7 linked regions of the Macaca fascicularis genome follow. The protein of the gene in region 1 interacts with the protein of each later gene in a pairwise test. Links are inferred from orthologs where the notes say so. Each region holds a gene or a part of one and is shown in the gene's direction. Other genes may lie near its edges.

Region 1 (3,500 bases):
AATAGTAATTGCAAAGAGAATTTCTTTTCATGTATGGTGTGAAATTAATCAGCCATCAAAAAGCCAACATAATGTCTTTTATCTCTGTGCTTCTATACTTACACAGGTTTTGGTAGAGTTGGATACATGGTTTTTAACTCTTATAATATGCATCCCATATTGTAACTCGATACAATGAGCTCTTGTAGATTTTAATGGTCTATGAATAGTGCAGATTTCCTAGAGAACTACCTCTCACTGAGCATCCTTATCTTCTCAGCTCAGTCATTATAAGCCATCAATCGTAACATTGCTCATTATTGTCATCAACTGGGGAAGCCCATAGAAGAGTTTTTTAAATCACTGGATTTTGTTTTACAGTGTTCTGTATAATATAACTGCCTCCATGTACTGTTTAAACCTGCAGCACCCCATGCATTACTGCATATAATTCTAGTGTGTATCCAGTTGTCCTTTTTCTGTGTGTGTGTGTGTTTTTTTTCTTTTAACCAAAAGTAAATAAAATATAATCCGATTTCAGTTTTTGTGTCAGGATTATTGAATTTCTCTGTAGACAAATGGAACTTTTGAAGGGGTAATATCCTTTTAAAAGTTTTGCTTTCTTCGTTTTTCTTTTCCTCATTGAATAGGTTTATCACCAGATCTTCAATCTATGGAGCAGATTCGGCGAATTATGCGACCAACTGATGTACCAGATCAAGGTCTTCTTTGTGATCTTTTGTGGTCTGACCCCGATAAAGATGTCTTAGGCTGGGGTGAAAATGACAGAGGAGTGTCCTTCACATTTGGTGCAGAAGTGGTTGCAAAATTTCTCCATAAGCATGATTTGGATCTTATATGTAGAGCCCATCAGGTATTGATTTTGAATTTTACATGTACACTTAAGAGCATGTGTGTGAGCACAGATTCTCCTTGTTGATTTTGGTGGGTAGGTATTGCTTATTTATACAAAGTGTTTCTGGAACACAAGATATCAGGCTCAATGGGAAACTGAAACGTGGTTTTACTTACCTAATATTTGCACCTATTTATACTGAAAAAATTTTCTCTCGAAGGTGGTTGAAGATGGATATGAATTTTTTGCAAAGAGGCAGTTGGTCACTCTGTTTTCTGCGCCCAATTATTGTGGAGAGTTTGACAATGCAGGTGCCATGATGAGTGTGGATGAAACACTAATGTGTTCTTTTCAGGTAGAGCATGCTTTCAACATTATTTCCTTTTACTATGTTTGCACTTTGCTGGTTGAAAAATATAATTGCCACTTTTTGCCTAGTGTTCATTTATGCTAAGTAGGCTGTTTCTATTTTCCCTTAACCAGTGTGTGTTATAGTTGAATAATGTGTAGATCCCTTGTAAAAGAAAAAATTAATTATGGCACCTTTTCCCAGTGTTTAATTATGATTTTTTTGCATTGCATATTGGCTCCTTATGCTTTTATGGCTGTTTTACTGTAGATCTAAAACCATAATGACAATGTAATGTTCAGCTAAAATTAAATCACCACTTGCATGTGAAAAGTACTGAGTGCCTCGTGCTATGTGTTTACTTAGTTCTGCCCTCTAGTCTAATTTCCACAAAACTTCTGCTAATGTACCACGACATCATTTGGCCTTCAGTTGGCACAAAAGCATTATTTAGAATCTGCCTCAGCCTTTTTCTCATTTGCAAGTTTTTTTTGTTGTTGTTGTTGTTGTTTTTTACCAATTGTCAGAGAACTTGCAGCTTTCAAAATTCCAAAGATTGTGCAAGAATCCCCTGCAGTTTGGAGAAACACTTTTGTAAAGAACTTTCTCCCCTATACAGAAGGAATAGCTAAAGATATTACCAGTACTCAGAGACAAAATAATTTGTCCAGATCATAGATTTTTATCTCTTCATCATAGCCTTAATTACTAAATGTTTACATGTCAACTTAGCTTGTGTTAATATGCTAGGGAGGCTTTTACAGTTGTTGGGGCGTTGTAAACGCCATCTGAACAAAAGATCTGAATGAAATGTAAGGACTCTTTAAGATTTGGGGTTGAGTATATTTCCTAAATGAACTGTCTTTTGAATCTCTCCAGATTTTAAAGCCTGCAGAGAAAAAGAAGCCAAATGCCACGAGACCTGTAACGCCTCCAAGGGGTATGATCACAAAGCAAGCAAAGAAATAGATGTCATTTTGACACTGCCTAGTTGGGACTTGTAACATAGAGTATATAACCTTCATTTTTAAGACTGTAATGTGTACTGGTCAGCTTGCTCAGATAGATCTGTGTTTGTGGGGGCCCTTCCTTCCGTTTTTGATTTAGTGAATGGCATTTGCTGGTTATAACAGCAAATGAGAGACTCTTCACTCCAAAAAGAAAAGTGTTTTGTTTTTTAATTCTCTCTTCCTTTTGCAAACAATTTTAATGATGGTGTTAAAGCTGTACACCCCAGGACAGTTTATCCTGTCTAAGGAGTAAGTGTACAGTTGATCTTTTTAAATTCAGTACAACCCATAATCATGTAAATGCTCGTTTTCTTTAGGACATAAAGAGCCCTAGGGTGCTCCAAGTCTGTACATGTTCTTGTCATAAAATGCATACTGTTGATACAAACCACTGTGAACATTTTTTATTTGATAATTTTGTTTCAAAGGGATTGCTTTTTCCTCTCATTGTCTTGTTATGTACAAACTAGTTTTTATAGCTATCAACATTAGGAGTAACTTTCAACCTTGCCAGCATCACTGGTATGATGTATATTTAATTAAAGCACACTTTTCCCCTACCGTATACTTAAAATGACGATTAAAGCCATTCTTTTAAATATTTGTGACTCTTTCCTAAAGCCAAAGTTTCTGTTGAATTACGTTTTGGCACACCCCTAAGTACAAGGTGGTATGGTTGTGTACACATGCTGCCTTCTCGGGGATTCAAAAACAGGTTTTTGATTTTGAATAGCAATTAGTGATATAGTGCTGTTTAAGCTACTAATGATTAAAGGTAATAACATTTTGTACAATTTCCATATAGTCTATTCATTAAGTAATCTTTTTACAGTTGCATCAGGCCTGAACCCGTCCATTCAGAAAGCTTCAAATTATAGAAACAATACTGTTCTATACGAGTGACCGATTATGCTTTCTTTGGCCTACATTCTTTATTCTGCGGTGAAGTTGAGGCTTATAAGTTAAAACAAAGGAACTAACTTACTGTCCACCAGTTTATACAGAACTCACAGTATCTATGACTTTTTTTAAACTAAGATCTGTTAAAAAAGAAATCTGTTTCAGCAGATGACCGTGTACAATACCATGTGGTGAAAATGAATTCAGACTTATTAAATGATGAACTTGTTAAATCCTCTCAGTGTCTATTTATCAGCACAATACACACAGGAGAACTGTTGATGGCATATTGAATAGATTTTCCTGAATAAATTGCTCTGGAAACCACATGGTTGCATTTTGGTTTTGTCTTCTTTCATATAGTCTGTTTTCCAAAGATGGATTATAATACAGATACTAATACTCT
Region 2 (3,500 bases), on another chromosome or scaffold:
ATTATTTTATTAAGAAAATTTTCAGCTTTCTTCTTTAAAGTTCTTTCTCTTTTACCTAATGTTTACAAAGATTGATACTGATTTTAAAAGTCACTTGCCTTGAATCTAAGAAAATGGTATTTATATCTGTCATTTCTTTTTTTCTAAGTAGAAATGACTGGACAACCCCAAAATGCATCTTTTGGCAAGAGGAGCTGCTGGTGGCTACTTCCTCTGATAGCTGCTCTTGCCTCTGGGAGTCTTTGGTTCTTTAGTACTCCTGAGGTAGAAACCACTGCTGTTCAAGAGTTCCAGAACCAGATGAATCAACTTAAGAATAAGTATCAAGGTCAAGATGAGAAGCTGTGGAAAAGGAGCCAAATATTCCTGGAAAAACATCTTAATAGCTCCCATCCTCGGTCTCAGCCTGCTATCTTGCTGCTCACTGCTGCCCGAGATGCTGAAGAAGCGCTTAGGTGTCTGAGTGAACAAATTGCTGATGCCTATTCTTCTTTTCGTAGTGTCCGTGCCATCCGGATTGATGGGACAGATAAAGCTACTCAAGACAGTGATACTGTCAAACTAGAGGTAGACCAAGAACTGAGCAATGGATTTAAGAACGGCCAGAATGCAGCTGTGGTACACCGCTTTGAGTCATTGCCCGCAGGCTCTACTTTGATCTTCTACAAATATTGTGACCATGAAAACGCAGCCTTCAAAGATGTAGCCCTAGTCCTGACTGTCTTATTGGAGGAAGAGACACTTGGAACCAGTCTAGGCCTAAAGGAAGTTGAAGAAAAAGTAAGAGATTTCCTTAAAGTCAAGTTCACCAATTCTAACACACCCAACTCCTACAATCATATGGACCCAGACAAACTGAATGGCCTCTGGAGCCGCATTTCTCACTTAGTTCTGCCTGTGCAACCTGAAAATGCCTTGAAAAGGGGCATCTGCTTATAAGAAGTGAGAGAAGAAAAATCATGTCCCAAGTTCTGAGAATTGTTCACATTTTCTAACCAGAGACAGAATTCAGAGCTCTTTTTGAAAGAACTGGTTTCTTTTTAAAGGAAATTAAGTTCTTACATAAACACAGAACATAAAAATCATTTGTCAACCTAATTATCTAGGATATGAGAGAATCATTTCAGTTTCCATTGAGAGCTGTGTTAAAGGTATCTTAGGAGTGCAGATTATATGCAGTTCCTTAGAGAATCTATTTTGATTCTGGGCTGAATTATTACAGTTATGTATGACCAGTGAAAGGGATTTGTCTCCTTATGAACCTTCCTGATTTTTTAACTTAGATTTCTCACTAAGTTTCTTGAGTTATTAGTAAGATTGCTCCCTAAATGTAACCATGGATTTTCCCATTATGTTCCCTTTTATACCATGTAGGTGTGAGTTCCTTAGCTTCTGCCTATAGGAACATAAGTTATGAAAGGTCACGTAGGTGTGTGTTTGGAATTTTTTTTTCTTTTGTTTGTTGGAAGGTGGAAAGAACAAGGCAAGGAAGAAATTAATGGGGAAGCTGAAGGGAGGAAATGTTATAGTAATCCACTGAGGTGTAGGTCAAACATAGGTATATGAACTGTTAATCTTAGTGGATTCCATTGGGATTTGTTTTTTATATCTCCTTTTTCCTTCCTTGAAGAAAAATTCTTGGCCCTCCCAAGGATTCTTCATGTATATTGCAAGATTTAATACATTTGTTCACTTGACTCTTAAGAGTAGGTCAGGTTGGCCGGGCGCGGTGGCTCACGCCTGTAATCCCAGCACTTTGGGAGGCCGAGGCGGGCGGATCACAAGGTCAGGAGATCGAGACCACGGTGAAACCCCGTCTCTACTAAAAATACAAAAAATTAGCCGGGTGCGGTTGTGGGCGCCTGTAGTCCCAGCTACTCGGGAGGCTGAGGCAGGAGAATGGCGTGAACCCAGGAGGCGGAGCTTGCAGTGAGCCGAGATCGCACCACTGCACTCCAGCCTGGGCGACAGAGAGAGACTCCGTCTCAAAAAAAAAAAAAAAAAGAGTAGGTCAGGCCGAGGCAGGTGGATCACCTGAGGTCAGGAGTTCGAGACCAGTCTGGTCAACATGGTGAAACCCTGTCTCTACTAAAAATACAAGAATTAGCCGGGCATGGTGGCACATGCCTGTAATCCCAGCTACTTGGGAGGCTGAGGCAGGAGAATTCGCTTGAACCCGGGAGGCAAAGGTTGCAGTAAGCCGAGACCAGGCTTATTGCCCTCCAGCCTGGGCAACAAAAACAAAACTCTGTCTCAAAAAGAAAAAAAAAAAAAGACTAGGTCAATTCGTAACAGTTTATTTTGGACACATCCTGAAGCTTTTGTTTTGAATTAAGAAATAGTTTCAGGAATTGACAAACCATTTGTCAACCTGCTGTCCTGGGCTATTGAAGAAGATTTCGTTTTCTGTGCATCCAGTTGTTGCAGTCCAGGTCCTCTAGTACAACACCATAGCAAATATAAAGATTTACTATGCACGTGATACATTTTATGGAGTGCCTCAAGCCAAGATAGTGAACTTACATGAAGAGTGTGAAATGTATTTCTTTACTACTATAGTAGTATAGTTATAACTTTGCATCTATAATTGAGCTTTCTCATCTGTCAACTGCTATGGTTTTCTTAAAATGTTACAATTCTATATCTATCCACCTTGTTTTTTTATTGTCCACAAACCATTAAATGTAAATATTGTTTTTAGAGAGAGTCAGTCATTGGCTTTGTCATTTACCCTTTGAGAGTTCCACAAGTGGTAGTAGAGTGGTCTAACTTCTTTCCTCTAGTACTACCAGTATTCATAAATGTATGCCCCTTACTATAATTTGTTCCTCTTAGAAGTCAGATCATCTGATTTATAGAGGATTATGAAAACCAGAGTTTTTGAAAAGGCTTATTTTATACATACATATTATATAGAGAAATAACTTTTTATTAAATGTTTCACTGACCCAAGTAATTTAAAAGTAATATGTTACCTGTGTCTTTCAGGAAAAATAATTATAGCAGCTGATCTGTAAATGACTTTAAAAGCTATTTTAGTAATTTAAATAAATTTACTTTCTTGGTTTGTACTCTGTGTTATATATTTAATGATTTATCATATTTAAAAAAAGAAATCCAAGTCTTTTCCTTGAACAATTTTAGCAACCTTGGCTAGGAGAAACAAAAACCAAAGAATTGGAGCCATTTGCAAGTACATTGGTTAGAAGTGAGATAGCCATAACTTTCCATTTTATCTCGGCACTTAGGGTTTGTAAAAATATAGTTAATTTAGGTATTCCTGACTTGGCAAAAGAATCTCCACAGCAGCTTTTCTTTCTTTTTTTTTTTTTAAGTAGACATGGGATCTCGCTATATTGCCCAGGCTGTTTTTGAACTCTTGGCCTCAAGCAGTCCTCCTGCCTAAGCCTCCTAAGTAGCTAGGATTACAGGTGTGAGTCACAACCCCTGGCTTCTTAACCTTTTCTTCATCACCTCCCTAAAGAGCTTTTTTAGATTTT
Region 3 (4,084 bases), on another chromosome or scaffold:
GTGAATGAGTGAGTGAATGAATGAGTGAGTGAATGAGTGAATGAGTGAATGAGTGAGTGAATGAGTGAGTGAGTGAATGAGTGAATGAATGAGTGAGTGAGTGAATGAGTGGATGAGGGTGCATCAAACTCAACTGCGAGTCTCCAGGACACTTTTTTTGAGACAAGTTTTCGTTGTCACCTGGGCTGGAGTGCAGTGGTGCCATCTTGGCTCACCGCAGCCTCTAACTCCCAGGCTCAAGTGATCCTTCCACCTCAGCCTCCCAAGTAGCTGGCACTACAGGTGAGCGCCACCATGCCTGGCTCATTTTTCTAGTTTTTGTAGAGAAAGGGTCTTGCTGTGTTGCCCAGGCTGGTCTGGAACTCCTGAGCACAAGCCATCCGCCTGCCCTGGCCTCCCCAGATGCTGGGATTACAGGCATGAGCCACCAGGACCAGCCTCCACTGCACCTTCATTCTCCCGGCTCCCACAGGGGCGGGCTGGGTGGAACCTGCCCCGCGCCAACCCTGCAAGGTGGGGCTTTGGGGCAGGGACGGGGGATGCTGGGAGAAACATAAGGGAAGGGATGGCCCCTGTGTGCCCAGGCGAATCTGCTGCACTAAGCACATGGCACAGTCCAGGGCAGGTGGAGACTCAGCCAGGTTCCTCCTTCATGGCTGTCGCAGCCTGGAATAGAACAGGCGTGTGTGCAAAGCCAGGACCCCACTCCACCAGCACAGGTGCCACCCGAAGCACATGGGGCAAGGGGACGGACACCAGCTGCCTCCAAACGTCCAAGTGAGGGGAGGGCCCCTGAGCACCAAGCCCCGCCCTGGGTGTGCTCCCGGGTTCCCCCACCTGTCTCCCTGAACCTTCCCACCTAGGAGCACCCCCTCCCCCACGCCGGCATTCCCTCCGTACCCACTCACGACTTACCACTCATGACTTCCGTTTCCCACCCACCAGCCTCCGTGCCCCTCTCAGTCCCAGGCCTCCGTGCTCCCTGCTCCGGCCCATCCCCCCGCTCCGTGACATCCCCCCTCCGTGCACGCCCCCCGTCCCCCCTCCTCCATGCCTCCCCTCCGTGTCCCCCCTCCAAGCCCCCTTCTGTGTCCTCCCTCCATGTCCCCCCTCCGTGTCCCCCCTCCATGCCCACTTCTGTGTCCCCCCTCCGTGTCCCCCACTCCATGCTCCCCTCCGTCTCCCGCTCCGTGTCCCCCTCTCCCTGCCCCCCCATGCCACCCCGGCCGCGGAGGAGCCCCCCCTCCCCCGCTCCGCTCCGCGCGCGCTCCCGCCCGCGTTTTCGGACTGCACCAGCGGAGCCCCGCGGCGCCAGGGCCGGGCGGAGCGCCTCGTCTGTCGCCGCCGCCCCCACCGGTGCGGGCGCTGCGGCTGCGGCGGGGGGCGCGGGGCGCGGGGGCCGGCGCGCTCCGCACCTGCGGCGGCCGCTGGGTGATGCGGCGGCGCGGGCCGGGGCCGCGGGCGTCCTGAGCGCAGCGCCCGCCCGGGATGCCCGCCGGCCGCTGGCCCGGCCATGTCGTCGTCCTTCTTCAACCCCAGCTTCGCCTTCAGCTCGCACTTCGACCCCGGTGAGTCCCTGGCGGCCCGGCCTGCGCGCCGCTGCCTCCCTCCGCTGCGGACGTGATGCCGTTGGGCCCCACCGGCTCCCGGTTTGCATGGAAATTAACCCTTTCCCCGCCCCGAGCCCAGTCGCAGAAGCAGCCGGACCCCCTGGCGGCCCCAGATCTCGGAGGGGCAGGCCTTGGGCCCCAGCACAAACCGGCCTCCTCCTGTGGGCTGGCGTCCCCCGCCTGGTCGTGACTCCGTGGCTGCCTCCCGGGCACAGGTAACTGGGGCACAGAGGGCCTGCGTGGGCCCCAGGTGTCCAGGAGAGTTGGTCTCAGACTAAGGGCCCTTGGGGATGTGGAGGGTGTCAGCCAGATGGGGTTCAGGCTTGCCATGGCCTCTCCTGGGTCCGGGGCCCTGGCGTGGGAGGCTTCTTCCCAGGCTGGGAGCGGTTCTCGGAGCCCTGCCCAGCCACCAGCAGCGGGCGGGGGATGTGGGGGGAGCAGGGGCCAGTCCACATGACAGAGCCCAGTGGGCAGAGGCTCAGAAGAGAGGGGCTTGGTGGATGCCCAGACCCCCTGACAGTGGGGGCCCGAGGTGACGCTGTCAAGCTGGCTGCAGGGGACCTGAGGCCAGGCCTCTTACCCTGTGTGGCCAGTGCACCAGGCAGGGCACGATTACCCATGGCTGCCTGGCTTCCTGGCTGCGGTGGACAGCTGGGATAGGCAGAGGGGGCTGGGGGCAGCTGGAAGCCCCATCCGTCACCAGGAAGCAGTGGGCTTTCTAACCTCTGCTTCTTCAGATCCGGCCCCTGCTTGGCCTGAGTGGGAGATAACCCCCCCCCCGCCCTGTGCCATCCATGGCCCCAGGGCCAAGTCCCACCCACACGTCACTGGGGCTCTGGCACCAGGCTGAGCCAGCCCAAACAAAGCGTGTTTGCATGTGACGCGATCTCCTGTGTCTCCTTCCCTGGAGCAGGGCCCAGGGCATGCAGTCTGGCAGGGATACACGGGGGTCCCCCGGGCAGATCTTGGTCTGAAGGCATTTGCTTCTCGGAGGAAGGGAGCTGGTGGGAGGTCTGTCTGCTGGGCTTAGGGCTGTGGGTGTCACTTGCTCAGAAACGACTTCCTTTAGTGACTCCTGGGGCTCAGAAGTCCCTGGGTGGTGGGCAGGTGAAGGCCCAGAGCCCAGCAGCCCCCACAACAGCTGTGATGTCTCCCGAGGGCAGGGGGTGGAGGAGGCTTGGGGCAGGTCCTCATAGCATCTGCATGCCAGGCGTGGCCCACGGTGCTTGGTCCTTTCTGTCCCCAGAAGAGAGGGGACCCTCAGCCCACACCCTCCCTTGGGGCCCGGCCTTGCCCTTCGCCATGAGAAGCCCTTTCCCCTGCCTTTGAGTAGCCCTGGCTCTGCCCTTCCCTGGGTAAACAGCTGTGATCTGAGTAATTCCAATGTGTCCATTTAATGACTTAGAGGAGAAGAAGTTGTTGGAGACAAGGGGTGTTTCTCCTCTGCAAGATGCTGGGCCAGAGCTGCAGGCACCTGCTGGGCTCCAGGGCCCACCTGCCAGGAGAGGCTGCCTGAGGTTCTGGTGCTGGTGGGGAAGAGTACCCTCCTTCGGATTAAGGGGCTGTGTCTAGGCTCTGCAGCAGCACCCTTGAGGGGGTTAGGGAGGAGAGGGGGGTCCCGTGCCCTCCCGCTAAACTTAGCCCAGTCTTCCAAGCCTGGCTGCCCGGCGCTGCAGTCCCTCTGCCTGGCCTTGCCTCTGTGAACCTTGGTTTTCCCATCTATAACATGCGCTGACAGTACCTGTGGCAGGCCCAGGTGGGCTTAGTGCTTGGTGAGCACTTGGCTCTGTGCTGGAGGTCGTGGTGCTGGGACAGAGACCCCCCAGGGCCCAAGCTTCCTGCAGCACACGGCTGGCTCCTTGCCATCCCTGAACTGGAGCGAGTTGGTTCCTTCTGAGGCTGCTTGTGTCTGTGGGGGGCACCCAGAGGGGAGGGGCCCACGCTTGTGGCTCTGGCAGTTGACTTGTGTGTCACTCAGCATCTGGGGCAGTGCCAGCACCTGGGCACGGGGGTCTCACCTCAGTCACCAGGCCCCGCCCCGCTGCCGGGCCAGCTCCTTGTTCATCACAGGAGCTGGTGCCAGTCTCCATAGAGGTGATGGCAGTTGTGGTGGTACAGGGGGCAAAGATGCCCGAGAGTGCAGGGCCTGAGCTAGAGTGGAGGCTGTGGGCACAGACTGTGGGCTGCTTGGGCCCCGACCTTCTTCCGCGCCAGGCAGATGTGGGCAGGGCAGGGGGGCACCCAGCCCAGAAGCCTGCTCGAGCACCAGGAAGAGCCGCCTCCTCTGGAGCCCAGCTCTTCCCCCATCTCCCTGGCACTCGGGAGCGTGGGTGAGTGACCCTGGGGGATTTCTTGGCAGCTGCAGCCCTCCAGCCTCTGTGCTGTGTGGCCTCGGGCTCCTCACCCAGCCTCTCTGAACTCCACTCTGCACAGATGAAACCTCGCTCTGGGGTGGGCATGGCGGCCAGGGAAGG
Region 4 (3,500 bases), on another chromosome or scaffold:
GCATCAGATGAAAATGAAAATCAGCTTGATGGGGACGGGCCTGAGCATCTGACCAGCAGCGACAGTGCAATGGGAAAGCCCCAAGTGTCTGAGCAGGACAGTCTCAATAATAATGAAAGCTGCATATTGAGCTGCGAGGTGGCCGCAGGTGAGGACTCAGAAAACACCCTTTGTGAAGGCTCCAGAGATGAACAGGCCTTCTTGGGAAAGGACAAAAAAATACCTGGAAAAAGAAGTCCAAGAAGCAAAAAAGGGACTGCTAAGAAGATACCACCAGGTATTTTTTAAAATAGTATTTATTCTCTTCTTTAATTAATTAAAAATGAACCTCCTTCCCCTCCCATACCGTCTTTACTGTCCTGCATCTTGCTTCTTTCTTAAGCTATTCTGGAGCTAGTTCCACCATAGCACAAGTAGATCCAACTGAGTGATATTCCGTGCATGTGATACGTCTCCACACTGTTTCACTGTATGGGTGTAACACAATTTTTTAAATCACTTCCTTATGGCCCTTCCCAATCTTTTACTATCATAAACAGTGCTAAGGCCGGGTGCGGTGGCTCACACTTGTAATTAGCACATTGGGAGGCTGAGGTGGGTGGATTACCTGAGGTTGGGGATTCAAGACCAGCCTGGCTGACATGGTGAAACCCCATCTCTACTAAAAATACAAAAAATTAGCTGGGCCGGGCACGGTGGCTCACGCCTGTAACCCCAGCACTTTGGGAGGCCGAGATGGGCGGATCACGAGGTCAGGAGATCGAGACCACGGTGAAACCCCGTTTCTACTAAAAATACAAAAAATTAGCCGGGCGCGGTGGCGGGCGCCTGTAGTCCCAGCTACTCAGGAGGCTGAGGCAGGAGAATGGCGTGAACCCGGGAGGCGGAGCTTGCAGTGAGCCGAGATTGCGCCACTGCACTCCAGCCTGGGCGACAGAGCAAGACTCTGTCTCAAAAAAAAAAAAAAAAAAAAAAAAAAAATTAGCTGGATGCAGTGGCGGGCGCCTGTAATCCCAGCTACTCTGGAGGCTGAGGCAGAAGAATCGCTTGAACCTGGGAGGCAGAGGTTGCGGTGAGCCGAGATCGTGCCACTGCACTCCAGCCTGGCTACAGAGTGAGACTTCGTCTCAAAAAAAAAAAAATAAAAAAAAAAGTGCTGAAATTGACATCCTTTGTATATGTTTTCACATTAGGTACTTTAAATATATGCAGTCTCCTCCTTTATAAGTTAGACCATTTTCTACCAATATCAACTTTTAAAATTGCCTTCTGTCGTTCCTGTGGCTTTGACCTCTAACCTGTGAGTTTAGATGCTAGTATGACCTCTTCATAGATCTTTCCATCTCATTCAGCAGGTAAATAAAGTACATGAACATATATTAATATACAATTTAATATGTAGTGTTGAATAAGGCATCTGTTCTAATTATCTGTATCACTTTGGTTAAAAAGTAATTCAGAGTATTTCTCATTTGTGTATGCAGTTTGGCAGTTGAAGTTTAGAGCTATGGAATTTTTGGCCTGAATCACAGGGCCCCCTTGGGAAAAGGCAGCCTCTGGTTATTTTTGATCAGAAACACGTGAGCCTAGAAAGTTTTGGTATGCCCTAGACTGGATTCCTTAGTGTAGTATCACTTTACGCAAGCCAACAGATTTTACATCAGACTCTAGTGAACTAAGTGGAATGTCTCTTCATCTTCTGTTCTCTTCTTTGGTTAATTAGAAATATATCTGTCTATATCATATTTTTTATTTGTATTTTTAAAATTTGAAGTAAAATATAAAACTTTTCAGTTTCTTTTTTTTTTTTTTTTTTTTTTTTTTTGAGACGGAGTCTCGCTCTGTAGCCCAGGCTGGAGTGCAGTGGCCGGATCTCAGCTCACTGCAAGCTCCGCCTCCCGGGTTCACGCCATTCTCCGGCCTCAGCCTCCCGAGTAGCTGGGACTACAGGCGCCCGCCACCTCGCCCGGCTATTTTTTTTGTATTTCTTAGTAGAGACGGGGTTTCACCGTGTTAGCCAGGATGGTCTCGATCTCCTGACCTCGTGATCCGCCCATCTCGGCCTCCCAAAGTGCTGGGGTTACAGGCTTGAGCCACCGCGCCCGGCCAAAACTTTTCAGTTTCTACAAATTAATCCATATTTATTCTATAAGGTAATTTGAAAACTTTTTAATATAATTCATAATCTGGCTTTCTGGTTAATGTAACTGATAATTTGGCTTTTCATGTCCCTGTGAGCCGAGGGAGACTTAGGAGTCTCCTTTTCTTAGGAGATTTAAAATAATTTGTAACCAGGGATATGAAAGCTTTTTTTTTTTTTGAGGCGAGCCACGCTCTCACCCAGTACGGAGTGCAGTGGCGTGATCTCGGCTCACTGCAACCTCCGCCTCCCGGATTCAAGCAATTATCCTGCCTCGGATGATTATCCTGCCTCAACCTCTTGAGTAGCTGGGATTGCAGGCGTGCACCACCACGCCCCGCTTATTTTTTTTGTATTTTTAATAGAGACAGGGTTTCACCATGTTGGCCAGGCTGGTCTCAAACTCCTGACCTAGTGATCCGCCCACCTCTGCTCCTAAAGTGCTGGGATTAAAGGCGTGAGCCACCACGCCCCGCGAAAGCATTTCTTAAAAGATCTAATAAGCAGAGGATATTTATAGTACTATGTATATATAAATCATTCTATAACTATCATTCAAGGGCAAATTCACCAGGCCTCTCAATCCGATTTTGTGGTTTTTTTTTTTTTTTTTTTTTTTTTTTTTTTTTTTTTTTGAGACGGCGTCTCGCTCTGTCGCCCAGGCTGGAGTGCAGTGGCGCGATCTCGGCTCACTGCAAGCTCCGCCTCCCGGGTTCACTCCATTCTCCTGCCTCAGCCTCCCGAGTAGCTGGGACTACAGGCGCCCACAACCGCGCCCGGCTAATTTTTTGTATTTTTAGTAGAGACGGGGTTTCACCGTGGTCTCGATCTCCTGACCTTGTGATCCGCCCGCCTCGGCCTCCCAAAGTGCTGGGATTACAGGCGTGAGCCACCGCGCCCGGCTGTGGTTTTATTTTCAAGACAGCGTTTCATTCTGTCACCCAAGCTGAAGTACAGTGGCATGACCGTGGCTCTCTGCAGCCTTGACCTCCCAGGCACAAGAGAGTCTCCCACTGCAGCCTCTGGTAGCTGGGACAACAGGCGTGTGCCACCATGCCTGATGAATTTTTCTTTTATTTTTATTTCTGTAGATAAAGGATCTCTCACTGTTGCCCAAGCTGATCTTAAATTCCTGGCCTCAAGCAATCCTCCTGCCTAGGCCTCCCAAAGTGTTGGGATTATAGGCATCTTATGATGTAAGAACTGATGCTTAGTTGCATATCTATGAGTCAGTCATAGCTTTAAGATTATGAGTCCTTTTACTCCTCCCTTCCATGACCTTTATTCCACTTTCCTTAGGTGTGATTATATTATTATTATTTTTATTTTAGAGACAGGATCATGCTACCTTGCCCAGGTT
Region 5 (2,989 bases), on another chromosome or scaffold:
AATAAAAACAGTGATGGCCACTTACTTGGTTTATCTTGACTAGTTGCTTCCTATTCCCAGGCTAATTTCAGGTTAACCTTATTTTGGGAGCGTTTTGAGTTGGTTTGTTTTTCTTTATAGTTGCTTTAACTAAAGTTATTAATTGAACTCTCCGCAAACCGAAAGGTGTCTATTGTAGAGGGAAAGTTTTTTTAGTTTTCTATGCCGTTACTTGGAAAGAGAAGATATTGGGTGAGTTATTACTGACCTCAGCTTCTGCCGCACTGGGGAGTTTCAGATGGACAGTGCCATAATCTCTTGGCTCCAAATGGCCAGCTTAATACTTTGAAATTATTCCTGGGTAGAAAGTATCTCCAAATGGTGATAATCTTACGTCTTACCTTTAGGGCAGAATAAGTCATGTTAAAAATTAAATTTTAGTTCACACTGTGTAAATGCCATCTCTCTGTCCTTTTAAGGGGCCCCTGACAAAATGACCTATTTAGAATGAATAGGTAAGAAACAAAGTGGGGCAATGGAATGAGCACTTGGCAGCTGGAGCCCCGTGTTCTCTACTCCTCAGTGGTTAAGGCGGAGAGATTTGGAAGGCAGCCAGACCTGGCAAGTTACTTGACTCTCATGGCCTCAATTCACTCTTACTTGATGGGAAAAATAATAATATCTATTGTACAAGTTATTGCAAGATTTAAATGAGACAAGTAAATAAAATTCAGAATTTATTGCCTTGCCTTTAAATGCTAGCTCTTATTGAGAGACCTCAGGCCAGTCTCATGTCTAATTTTAGCTTGCTCATTGAGTAAAATGAAATGAGTGGAGTAGATGATACTGTGAACTAGAAGCAGAATTTGTAAATGATTATGTCTGAATATGATAGAATTATTTGACAGCCTTTGACTCTCTGTCGTTGGTATATATGGAGTATGATGTATGAAATATATGGAGTATATAGGATGATGGGTAGTGAGTCTAAAAAACCCTTCTACCTCTGTTTTCTTATCTGTATAATGATCCGTACCTCATAGGGTTAATGTGAGGATTAAATGAGATAAAAATGTGAAGCTCTTTGAAAAGAGCTGGTATATGATAAACACTGTATGTTTTTATCATTTATCTTAATGACACAATGAATGAGTAGTATTCAAGACTAGAATGCAATAACTGGTAAGGTGTTACATACCTGCTAATTGTCCTCAGGGGCATCCCTTGGCCTGATGTAAAGGGAACGAAAGTAGTAGGCCACAGTAGGGTTAGCTGATGTAACTATTAAACATACTTTAAAGCGAGTATTTGCTTTTGGAGTTTGATAGCTTAGAAAGAAGCTTCATAGAAATTAAGTAGTGATTAAGTAGTAATGAGTAGGGATTGTCACTCATTACATGTCATTATGTATATTAGAATCACAATTTCATATATAGGATAGCATATTGAATACAAAGGTTTTTGAAATCTTAACTACAAAGTTTCTTAGAGTAACACAGCGTTAAAAATACTAATTTTGCTGTACTTTGTTTACTAAGTAACTTTTTCTCTTCTGTATTGTTATTGCCAAAGTAATGATACAAAAATAGTACTACATGTTGATTTAAAAGTTGGAAAGTGAAAACATTTTCTAAAAGGAAAAAGAATAGAAGTAAGCAAAAATATTGTTAAAGCCTTTATGCAATGATAAAAACAGTGACTTCCGGGGATATGGCGGTTATTTTCAGAAATATTTTGCTTATCATTTTGAGGGAAGAATATCACAGAACTGTATTTCCCTAAGGATTAAAAAATAGCAGGGGTTAATAACAGCATGAAAAATTCAATTCCTCATCTGGATTCTTTTTATTAACACCAAAAGCCAAGGGCTGGTGGGGGATGCGTGGGGGCAGACGACTGTATGTGTGTATTATGCAGATATAGATAAATGAAGGATATATATATATAAATGAAAGATATATGTCTCTACATGAAATATTTAGGTGACATTTGTTACTATTTTATCCAAATGCCATCTAATCAGACCTTTTTTTTTTTTGAGACAGAGTTTCGCTCTTGTTGCCCAGGCTGAAGTACAGTGGTGCGATCTCGGCTCACTGCAACCTCCACTTCCCAGGTTCAAGCTGTTCTCCTGCCTCAGCCTCCTGAGTAACTGGGATTACAGGCGTGCGCCACCACGCCTGGCTAATTTTTTTGTATTTTTAGTAGAGACAGGGTTTCGCCATGTTGGCCAGGCTGGTCTTGAACTCCTGACCTCAGGTAATCTGCCTGCCTCCGCCTCCCAAAGTGCTGGGATTACAGGTGTGACAGAACTTTTTTTTTTTTCTTTAACTTCAGATATAGCTGGAACCAAATATTCCTAAGAACAAGATGTTATTTTTAGTTGGGAATAGTAAGATATTCTATATTATGAAAAAATTGGTAGCATAAAGGGTTATTGACCTCAACGCTAATTGTAAGATCCTAGAGAGTTATTAAAATTAGTCTTTGTTTTTGTAGGTAACCTTCCTTGAAGAAGTTACTGAGTATTATATAAGTGGTGATGAGGATCGCAAAGGACCATGGGAAGAATTTGCAAGGGATGGATGCAGGTTCCAGAAACGAATTCAAGAAACAGAAGATGCTATTGGATATTGCTTGACATTTGAGCACAGAGAAAGAATGTTTAATAGACTCCAGGGAACATGCTTCAAAGGACTTAATGTTTTCAAGCAATGTTAAGATGAGTTGGCAGCCTGTAGTCATAGCATACACTACCTCTTACCTGAGAGGTGTCTTTTAAAAACAAATCTTGGCAGCTGTCCTTTGACTTTTTTTTTTAAGAGGAAATGTAACTTGGATCTAGTTTAATTTTTTTTTTTTTCCCAACATATCCCACTCAGAAACATTCAGGTTTGAAGCCAGCCCTGATGATGAAGGATGAACTAGTGTAATTTCGAATCTTCCCTTTTTTGATTTAGTTGGATGTGCTTTTAAATGACCTTTGCATGCATGAGGTGAAAAGGGGACC
Region 6 (3,500 bases), on another chromosome or scaffold:
CAGGGGGAGTGAATATGGAGACTTCAAAATGGGGTGATCAGGAGGGTCAGAGCCATGGGGATATTTCAGGGGAGTGTTCTAGGCAGAAGGAATAGCTAGTACTTTTCTGGTCCTGAGGTGGGAGTGCGTGGAGGGACCAACGCCAGTGTGGCTGGAGTGAAGGAAGAGGCCAGAGAGGCAAGGGGAGGGTGGCACATTGGGAGCACCCTGTAGGCTTTGGTCAGGCTCTGGGCACCTTTGGGGCAATCAAGTAGACTTTTTTTTTTGAGGTGGAGTCTCACTCTGTTGCCCAAGCTGTAGTGCACTGGCGTGATCTCGGCTCACTGCAACCTCCGCCTCCCGGGTTCAAGTGATTCTCCTGCCTTGTCCTCCCGAGTAGCTGGGACTACAGGCGTACGCCACCATGCCCAGCTAATTTTTTTGTATTTTTAGTAGAGACGGGTTTCACCATGTTGACCAGGATGGTCTCAATCTCTTGACCTTGTGATCCGCCCGCCTCGGCCTCCCAAAATGCTGGGATTATAGGCATGAACCACCGCGCCCAGCCTCGAGTAGACTTTTTGCTCCAAGTGAGATGGGGAGACAATGTGGGGTTTGGAGCCAACAAGGAGTAACATACACAGTTCCCGAGTTCCATTTTCCCATGGGGACCCAGGTGTCATATCTGATTTTTTTTTTTCTTTTTTAGAGACAGTGTCACTCTATTGCACAGGCTTGTCTCCAACTCCTGGGCTCGAGAAATAATCCTGCCTCAGCCTCCCAAAGTGCTGGGATTACAGGCGTGAGCCACCGTGCCCGACTGGTGTCATATCTGATGCAGCTCTTAGCAACCACCTGCCCAGCCACCCTTCTGGCTTCTCCCTTTTCATACCTCAGTCCATTAGGGGACTCAGGGATGTTCGACTGGCCCCAAGTCCTCCCAAACAGATGCCAGGGAAGGCCTGAGTAGATCATTTGGACCTTTCCAAGTAGTCCACATGGAATCCTCCTGCTGTCTGCCTAATCCCTTTGGCTCCTAGACTTAATCCCACCCTGCCCCTTCCCCCTGAGCTTCTTAAGAGGGCAAAGGGGAAGGGTAGAAAGGCAGTGAGAACAGCTGGGACTCACCTGCTTTTGGCACAGTGTGATTTTTCTGTGCCCTGTCTGGTATTTTGTCTCTGCGCCTGTCCCTTTGAGCACACTGTGGGCTCAAACCCCACCCCAGGTTTGTGTGGACTTTCCTTTCTGCCCTTGTCATCTCCCCCAACCTTTCAAGGTGTCAGCGGCTAATCTTTCCCCTGTGTGTTGTGGGAGTCTCTTGGTTCCTCTGGGCCTTTCTATTCATCTCCCATCTCTTCCCAGGCCCTAGACCCCCTTTGCTATGGATAGGAGAGGAATGAGGGGAGTGGGAGGGAACAGGTGCCCAGGCTCCTGGGTTTCGCATAGGACAGCAAGGGGCTGTGGGTATGAAAACCATGGTTTTGGTTGAGACTGGCTCCCCAGCCAGTTCTTTCCCCACTGGCCAGTCTGCTGGGCTCCTCTGGGAAGTTTACTCTTTCCCCACTGGCCAGTCTGCTGGGCTCCTCTGGGAAGTTTACTCTATTGCCTCCAAGGTGCCCAAAGACTCGGTTCTGATCACAAGACTAATCGCCACGTATTTTAATTTCTTTTTACCCCTCTGCCTCCCACACTCGAAAGAGCAGGGACCTTGGTCTTATGTTATTCACTTCTGCCTCCCAAGCCCCTGCCAACATACAGGGCAAAGTCTGATGTTTTGAAATGATATGATCGAAGAGGGAAACTCTAGGATTGGAAAGCCAGTGTGTAAAGGAAAACTGGATCCCAAAGTGGATGGGAGAGAGTGAGGGGGGCGCCTAAGTCCAACCCCCACCCCCACCTTTCCCCCGCCCCACCTGCTCCCTTGCAGACTCCCCCCCGCCCCCCGCTTTCTCCCCCTCAACCCCCACGGGCCTCACCCCTGCTGACCTTGCCTCCTGCCCCCTTTTTCTCCCTCCTTCAGCTTAAGATCTCCTTCAGCGAGACAGCCCTGGAGACCACGTACCAATACCCCTCCGAGAGTTCGGTACTGGAGGAGCTGGGCCCGGAGCCTGAGGTCCCCAGTGCCCCCAACCCCCCAGCAGCCCAACCCGACGACGAAGAGGATGAGGAAGAGCTGCTGCTGCTGCAGCCAGAGCTCCAGGGCGGGCTGCGCACCAAGGCCCTGATTGTGGGTAAGCGGACGCTCCGCCGGCTCGAGAGCGCCCCCTGCTGTCAGAGCTGGCGCTGCGGTCCAGGAGAGAAGAGGAGGGAGGATTGCATGTAGGCGCTTGGAAGGGGCTTGGTGGTCCTCTGGTCCAACCTGCTCCTTCAATAGATGGGCAAACTGAGGTCCCGGGCAGTGAAGTACACATTGAGTCTTCAAGTTTCAAAACGAGAACTCTTCCTGAGTACCGTAATCTGGTCAAAACCACAGGGTGGGTCTACAGGCCTGAGTTGGAATTGCAGCTTGTCTCTTAATTGTGTGATCTCAAGGAAACCATCCGATATCTGGCTTTAGTTTATTATTTATGAAATGAAGTTAATAATAACTACCTCCTGTGGCTCATGCCTGTAATCCCAGCACTTCGGGAAGCCAAGACGGGTGGATCGCTTGAGCCCAGGAGTTCAAGACCACCCTGGGCAACATGGCAAAATCCTGTCTCTACAAAAAAATACAAAAATTATCCCGGTGTGGGCCAGGCACGGTGGCTCACGCCTGTAATCCCAGCACTTTGAGAGGCCGAGGCGGGCGGATCATGAAGTCAGGAGACTGAGACCATCCTGGCTAACACGGTGAAACTCCATCTCTACTAAAAATAAAAAAAAATTAGCCGGGCGTGGTGGTGGGCACCTGTAGTCCCAGCTACTTGGGAGGCTGAGGCAGGAGAATGGTGTGAACCTGGGAGGCGGAGCTTGCAGTGAGCCGAGATCACCCCACTGCACTCCAGCCTGGACAACAGAGCGAGACTCCATCTCTAAAAAAAATAAATAAATAAAAATAAAAGAATTAGCCAGGTGTGGCAGTGCACAGCTGTGGTTCCAGCTACTTGGGAGGCTGAGGTGGGAGGATCGTTTGACCTCAGAAGTTGGAGGCTGCAGTGAGCCGATATTGTACCACCCACTGCACTCCAGCCTGGGCAATAGAGGAAGACCCTGTCTCGAAAGAAACAAACAGGCCAGACAAGGTGGCTCACGCCTGTAATTCCAGCACTTTGGGAGGCTGAGGCAGGTGGATCACTCAAGGTCAGAAGTTCAAGACCGGCCTGGCCAACATAGTGAAAACCCATCTCTACTAAAAATACAAAAATTAGCTAGGCATGGAGGTGGACACCTGCAATCCCTGCTACTCGGGAGTCTGAGGCAGGAGAATCACTTGAAGCTGGGAAGCAGAGGTTGCAGTGAGCCGAAATGATGCCACTGCACTCCAGCCTGGGCTACAGAGTGAAATTCCGTCTCAAAAAAACAGAAACCAAAAACTACCT
Region 7 (3,500 bases), on another chromosome or scaffold:
TGCTCATCCTCATTAAGCATCAGGAGACCTAGCTTCTGGGCCCAGCCTGGCCTCAGCTGACCCTGCGAGGTCACAGCCAAGTCATGCAACTCCAATTCCTAATGGGATTCTGCCCCGCCCTCAGGCAGCAAACTCCACAGCTCTGGCTTGATCAGGGGAGTCTCATTTGAGGGCATAGCTGCCCTAGAGGTGATGGGGCCTCTCCTGAGGTCATCAATGCCTTGAGTTGCTGGTCTTCACCCAGCTTAAATCTCCCGGTGCCCTAAGCTAGTGGTTTTCAAAGCATGTCTCTGGACCAGCAGCAGCAGCACCTGGAGGTATGTTAGGTAGGCACCTTCTCCAGCACCACCTCAGACCTGCAGAACCAGAAACTCTGGGAGTGAGCTGAGGGACACTCAAGTCTGAGGACCCTTACCCTAGGCCAGCGCTCCCACCAGCCCTCAAGTGGAGCTTGGGTTGAGCAAGGGCTTCTGGGAGATAGGAGTTTCTCTGAGGTTCCTTTGGTGCAGGAAGGCATCATCCTGGGAGAAGCACAAGAAGAGGTGGCCTGATTGGAGGGTAGGGCCCTATCCCCACCGCCTGCCCAAGCCCAGCAGTCACAGCAGCACTTCACGATCATGTGCACTTTTGCAGGGGGCCACAGAGGGAGATTCTCAGCTTTCCAGGGACTAGCGCCCAAGACTCCTCATCTGTAAACACAGGAGATAATGATCTCATGGGTGGAGGTGAGCACTCGAAAGTATGGTGCATCATAGGTGCTCAGAGATGGGAGATGGTGTCATTTTCTTCCCCAGTGCTTCTCAGAGCCCTTTTGCTGCCCTTCTCACTGTTATTCATGAAGCTCTCATAAGGTTGGCTGGGATTGTCATGCTCACTTGGTGGTCTGGGATTGTCATACCCACTTGGCAGTGAATGAGGTTGAGGTCCAGAGAGGTTCTGTGACCTGCCCAAAGACACTCAGAACAATGTCAAAGCTAAGTCTGGAATCCAGATGTCCAGATTCCTCCAGCTCTTCTGGAGGCCTCATCCCACTCCTGTCCTGGGCAATGGTTGAGGGGGCCATCCCGAGGCATCAGCACTCAAGCAGCTTCTCAGAGTCATTCCTATAAACAGAGTCCTAGAATCTCAGATGTGGAAGGAACCTTGGAAGTAAACTAGTTCACCCACCCTCTCTGCATACAGACTGAGCAACTGAGACCTAGAGAGGGAAAATGGTTGACCAGGTCTCCTTCATCCAGCCCCTGACTCCTGACCAAGTAGTCTTCCCACTGGCCCAAACCACTCTGGCCATCACTTTTGTCCTTGCTTTCCTCTCACTTTGGGGCACTCACTACCCCAACGCCTTGCCAAATACCTAGCACATCCCTGGACAGCATCAGTCCTCAGCAAATGTTTATTGAATTAAGGACTTACTGAGTTAATTAATTAATTGCCTGCTCTGACCCCAGGTGAAGGGCACTGGAGAGGCGCTGTGGGCTGGATTCTGATCTGGATAACTCACTGTGGGTCTCTTGGTCTCTGTCACTCTGACTCTTGGCATCTCTGCTTTGTTTTCATTGTTTTTCTGTTTTGTTTTTGGTTGGAATCTTCTCTCTCCCTTCTCTTGCTCTGTCCCGTCCCTGTGTCTCTGACTGAATCTCCCTCTTTCTCCCACTGTCTTCCTCCCTGATTTATGTGCTGACAGTGGCCACCCAGGCAAGGGAGTATCCCAAGGCAGAGCCGCCTATATAGAAGCTGAGGGCTTCACTTTATGCGAGGCAGGCCGGGGTGGAGTGATCTCCACAGCTGAGCTGCCCCCTGAGTGCATTGAACAAGCAACTCTGGGCCCAGAATAGATAGCTTCTTTATTGCTTATCAAATAATGCTTGCTTTATTCCTTCTCTCAACAAGCCAGGATTGATCTCCACTTGTCAGTGGGCAGGGAAGGGGAAGGAATGAGGAGGCTCTTGGAGACGGAGATGGGGGTGGGGTGACCCCGCCGGTGCTGTACACCTGGTGTTCTTGCCCTGATGGATGGTGGAGACCCAGGGGCGACAGTCACCGGCCAGCTGCAAGGACTGGTCCAGGATGCTTTAGAAAGCCCACACAGGGTCTTCCTTGTGATCACCCACATCATTTCCTCTCTGAGGGTGTGTGGGCTGCTCAGCTCCTTGTGGAATGCGCTTGCTGGAGGCCCTCAGCCCCTCTGAAATGGCCCCCTCTCAAACTAAGGAAGATTCATCCCTGATCACCAGGGCTGCCCCCAGAGCAGCTGCTGTGTTTGGGAGACAGGGGTGAGTGAATGGATGGTGTGCAGGGCTGGAAAGCAGTTCCCTCTCCCCCAGGACACTGAAAAAGCTCTGTCCAGCCTGATCTGATTTGGGCCCTCCACAGGGCAAACCAGCCTGTGACCTCCAGGCCGGTCACCGTCCTGCAGGCTCTCCCCTGTCCGGTATGCTCACCAGCCAGGGGTTCTACAGGGACGGGACAGAGACACACACACCTGGCTGACGCAGGGACCCACCTGGCCCCTCTCATCTCCTCTCCCCTTTCCTGGTCAGGTGGTGAGCCAGATCGATAAGCTAACTTCGGACTTCGACTTTGAACTGGAGCCGGACGACTGGACCACAGCCACTGTGAGCAGCACCTCTAGCAGTGACAAGGCGGGCGTGGGCGGCCCCTTTGACCTGGGCCACCTGGACTTCATGACAGCCGATATCCTCTCAGACAGCTGGGAGTTCTGCTCCTTCCTGGACGTCTCTACCCCCTCGGACTCCGTGGACGGTCCTGAGTCGACTCGGCCAGGGGCTGGCCCTGACTACCGCCTCATGAATGGTGGCACGCCCATCCCCAATGGGCCACGAGTGGAGACCCCAGACTCCTCCAGCGAGGAGGCCTTCGGTGCTGGCCCCGCAGTGAAGAGCCAGCTGCCCCAGCGGACCCCAGGGACGCGGGAGAGGGTGCGGTTCAGTGACAAAGTGCTCTACCACGCTCTGTGCTGTGACGATGAGGAGGGGGATGGCGAGCAGGAGGCGGAGGAGGAGGAGGTGGGCTTGCCCCCAGAGCCTGCCCATACAGAGGCCCACGCAGGCCTCCACAAGCCCTCCCCAGCCCCCTACAAGTCACGGCGCTCTCCACTGACCAGCCGCCGCTCAGGCTCTACCTTGGCCCCTGAACAGACTCGAAGGGTCACGAGGAACAGCAGCACCCAGACAGTGTCAGACAAGAGCACACAGACGGTGCTGCCTTACACAGCCACTAGACAGAAAGCCAGGGGGAAAAACTAGGGGCTGGGGAGGGGGCCAGGGCGGTGGGCACATAGAGCTATAAATATATATATATATTTAAACAAATGAAGTCATAATAAAATTTAAAAATGCTAAGGATCTGGCCCCACAGGCCCCAAAGCTTTCACAGAGCTCCTCTTAGACATGAAGATGCCCACTGGCCTCCTAGGTCCCAGGAGGTGTGGGCAGGACTGCCCTTCCTCCCTTCTCATTGTGGGGCTCCTGAAGGGGGTG

What was found.
Region 2: the proteins of PPP1CC (region 1) and TOR1AIP1 interact in binary tests that used the Homo sapiens proteins (3 or more experiments, as listed by UniProt). The link is inferred for Macaca fascicularis from reciprocal best matches to the Homo sapiens genes PPP1CC and TOR1AIP1.
Region 3: the proteins of PPP1CC (region 1) and AATK interact in binary tests that used the Homo sapiens proteins (3 or more experiments, as listed by UniProt). The link is inferred for Macaca fascicularis from reciprocal best matches to the Homo sapiens genes PPP1CC and AATK.
Region 4: the proteins of PPP1CC (region 1) and CNST interact in a two-hybrid assay, tested with the Homo sapiens proteins (2 studies listed by BioGRID and IntAct). The link is inferred for Macaca fascicularis from reciprocal best matches to the Homo sapiens genes PPP1CC and CNST.
Region 5: the proteins of PPP1CC (region 1) and PPP1R15B interact in binary tests that used the Homo sapiens proteins (3 or more experiments, as listed by UniProt). The link is inferred for Macaca fascicularis from reciprocal best matches to the Homo sapiens genes PPP1CC and PPP1R15B.
Region 6: the proteins of PPP1CC (region 1) and PPP1R18 interact in a two-hybrid assay, tested with the Homo sapiens proteins (2 studies listed by BioGRID and IntAct). The link is inferred for Macaca fascicularis from reciprocal best matches to the Homo sapiens genes PPP1CC and PPP1R18.
Region 7: the proteins of PPP1CC (region 1) and INSYN1 interact in a two-hybrid assay, tested with the Homo sapiens proteins (2 studies listed by BioGRID and IntAct). The link is inferred for Macaca fascicularis from reciprocal best matches to the Homo sapiens genes PPP1CC and INSYN1.

What each region holds. Positions count from the first base shown.
Region 1 is NC_088385.1:117,603,167-117,606,666, reverse strand, and holds the end of PPP1CC (serine/threonine-protein phosphatase PP1-gamma catalytic subunit), read left to right. Parts: intron 1-629; coding exon 630-853; intron 854-1,055; coding exon 1,056-1,190; intron 1,191-2,063; coding exon 2,064-2,124; intron 2,125-3,026; coding exon 3,027-3,097; 3' UTR 3,098-3,421; downstream 3,422-3,500. UniProt on the Homo sapiens protein: Protein phosphatase that associates with over 200 regulatory proteins to form highly specific holoenzymes which dephosphorylate hundreds of biological targets.
Region 2 is NC_088375.1:37,408,432-37,411,931, forward strand, and holds the end of TOR1AIP1 (torsin-1A-interacting protein 1), read left to right. Parts: intron 1-148; coding exon 149-939; 3' UTR 940-3,071; downstream 3,072-3,500. UniProt on the Homo sapiens protein: Required for nuclear membrane integrity. Induces TOR1A and TOR1B ATPase activity and is required for their location on the nuclear membrane. Binds to A- and B-type lamins. Possible role in membrane attachment and assembly of the nuclear lamina.
Region 3 is NC_088390.1:87,576,426-87,580,509, reverse strand, and holds the start of AATK (serine/threonine-protein kinase LMTK1), read left to right. Parts: upstream 1-1,284; 5' UTR 1,285-1,513; coding exon 1,514-1,568; exon of another isoform or gene 1,569-1,825; intron 1,826-4,084. UniProt on the Homo sapiens protein: May be involved in neuronal differentiation.
Region 4 is NC_088375.1:2,528,400-2,531,899, reverse strand, and holds part of CNST (consortin), read left to right. Parts: coding exon 1-277; intron 278-3,500. UniProt on the Homo sapiens protein: Required for targeting of connexins to the plasma membrane.
Region 5 is NC_088375.1:62,230,608-62,233,596, reverse strand, and holds part of PPP1R15B (protein phosphatase 1 regulatory subunit 15B), read left to right. Parts: intron 1-2,478; coding exon 2,479-2,700; 3' UTR 2,701-2,989. UniProt on the Homo sapiens protein: Maintains low levels of EIF2S1 phosphorylation in unstressed cells by promoting its dephosphorylation by PP1.
Region 6 is NC_088378.1:141,975,109-141,978,608, forward strand, and holds part of PPP1R18 (phostensin), read left to right. Parts: intron 1-1,999; coding exon 2,000-2,210; intron 2,211-3,500.
Region 7 is NC_088381.1:50,662,695-50,666,194, reverse strand, and holds part of INSYN1 (inhibitory synaptic factor 1), read left to right. Parts: intron 1-633; exon of another isoform or gene 634-707; coding exon of another isoform or gene 708-725; intron 726-2,540; coding exon 2,541-3,266; 3' UTR 3,267-3,500. UniProt on the Homo sapiens protein: Component of the protein machinery at the inhibitory synapses, probably acting as a scaffold. Inhibitory synapses dampen neuronal activity through postsynaptic hyperpolarization.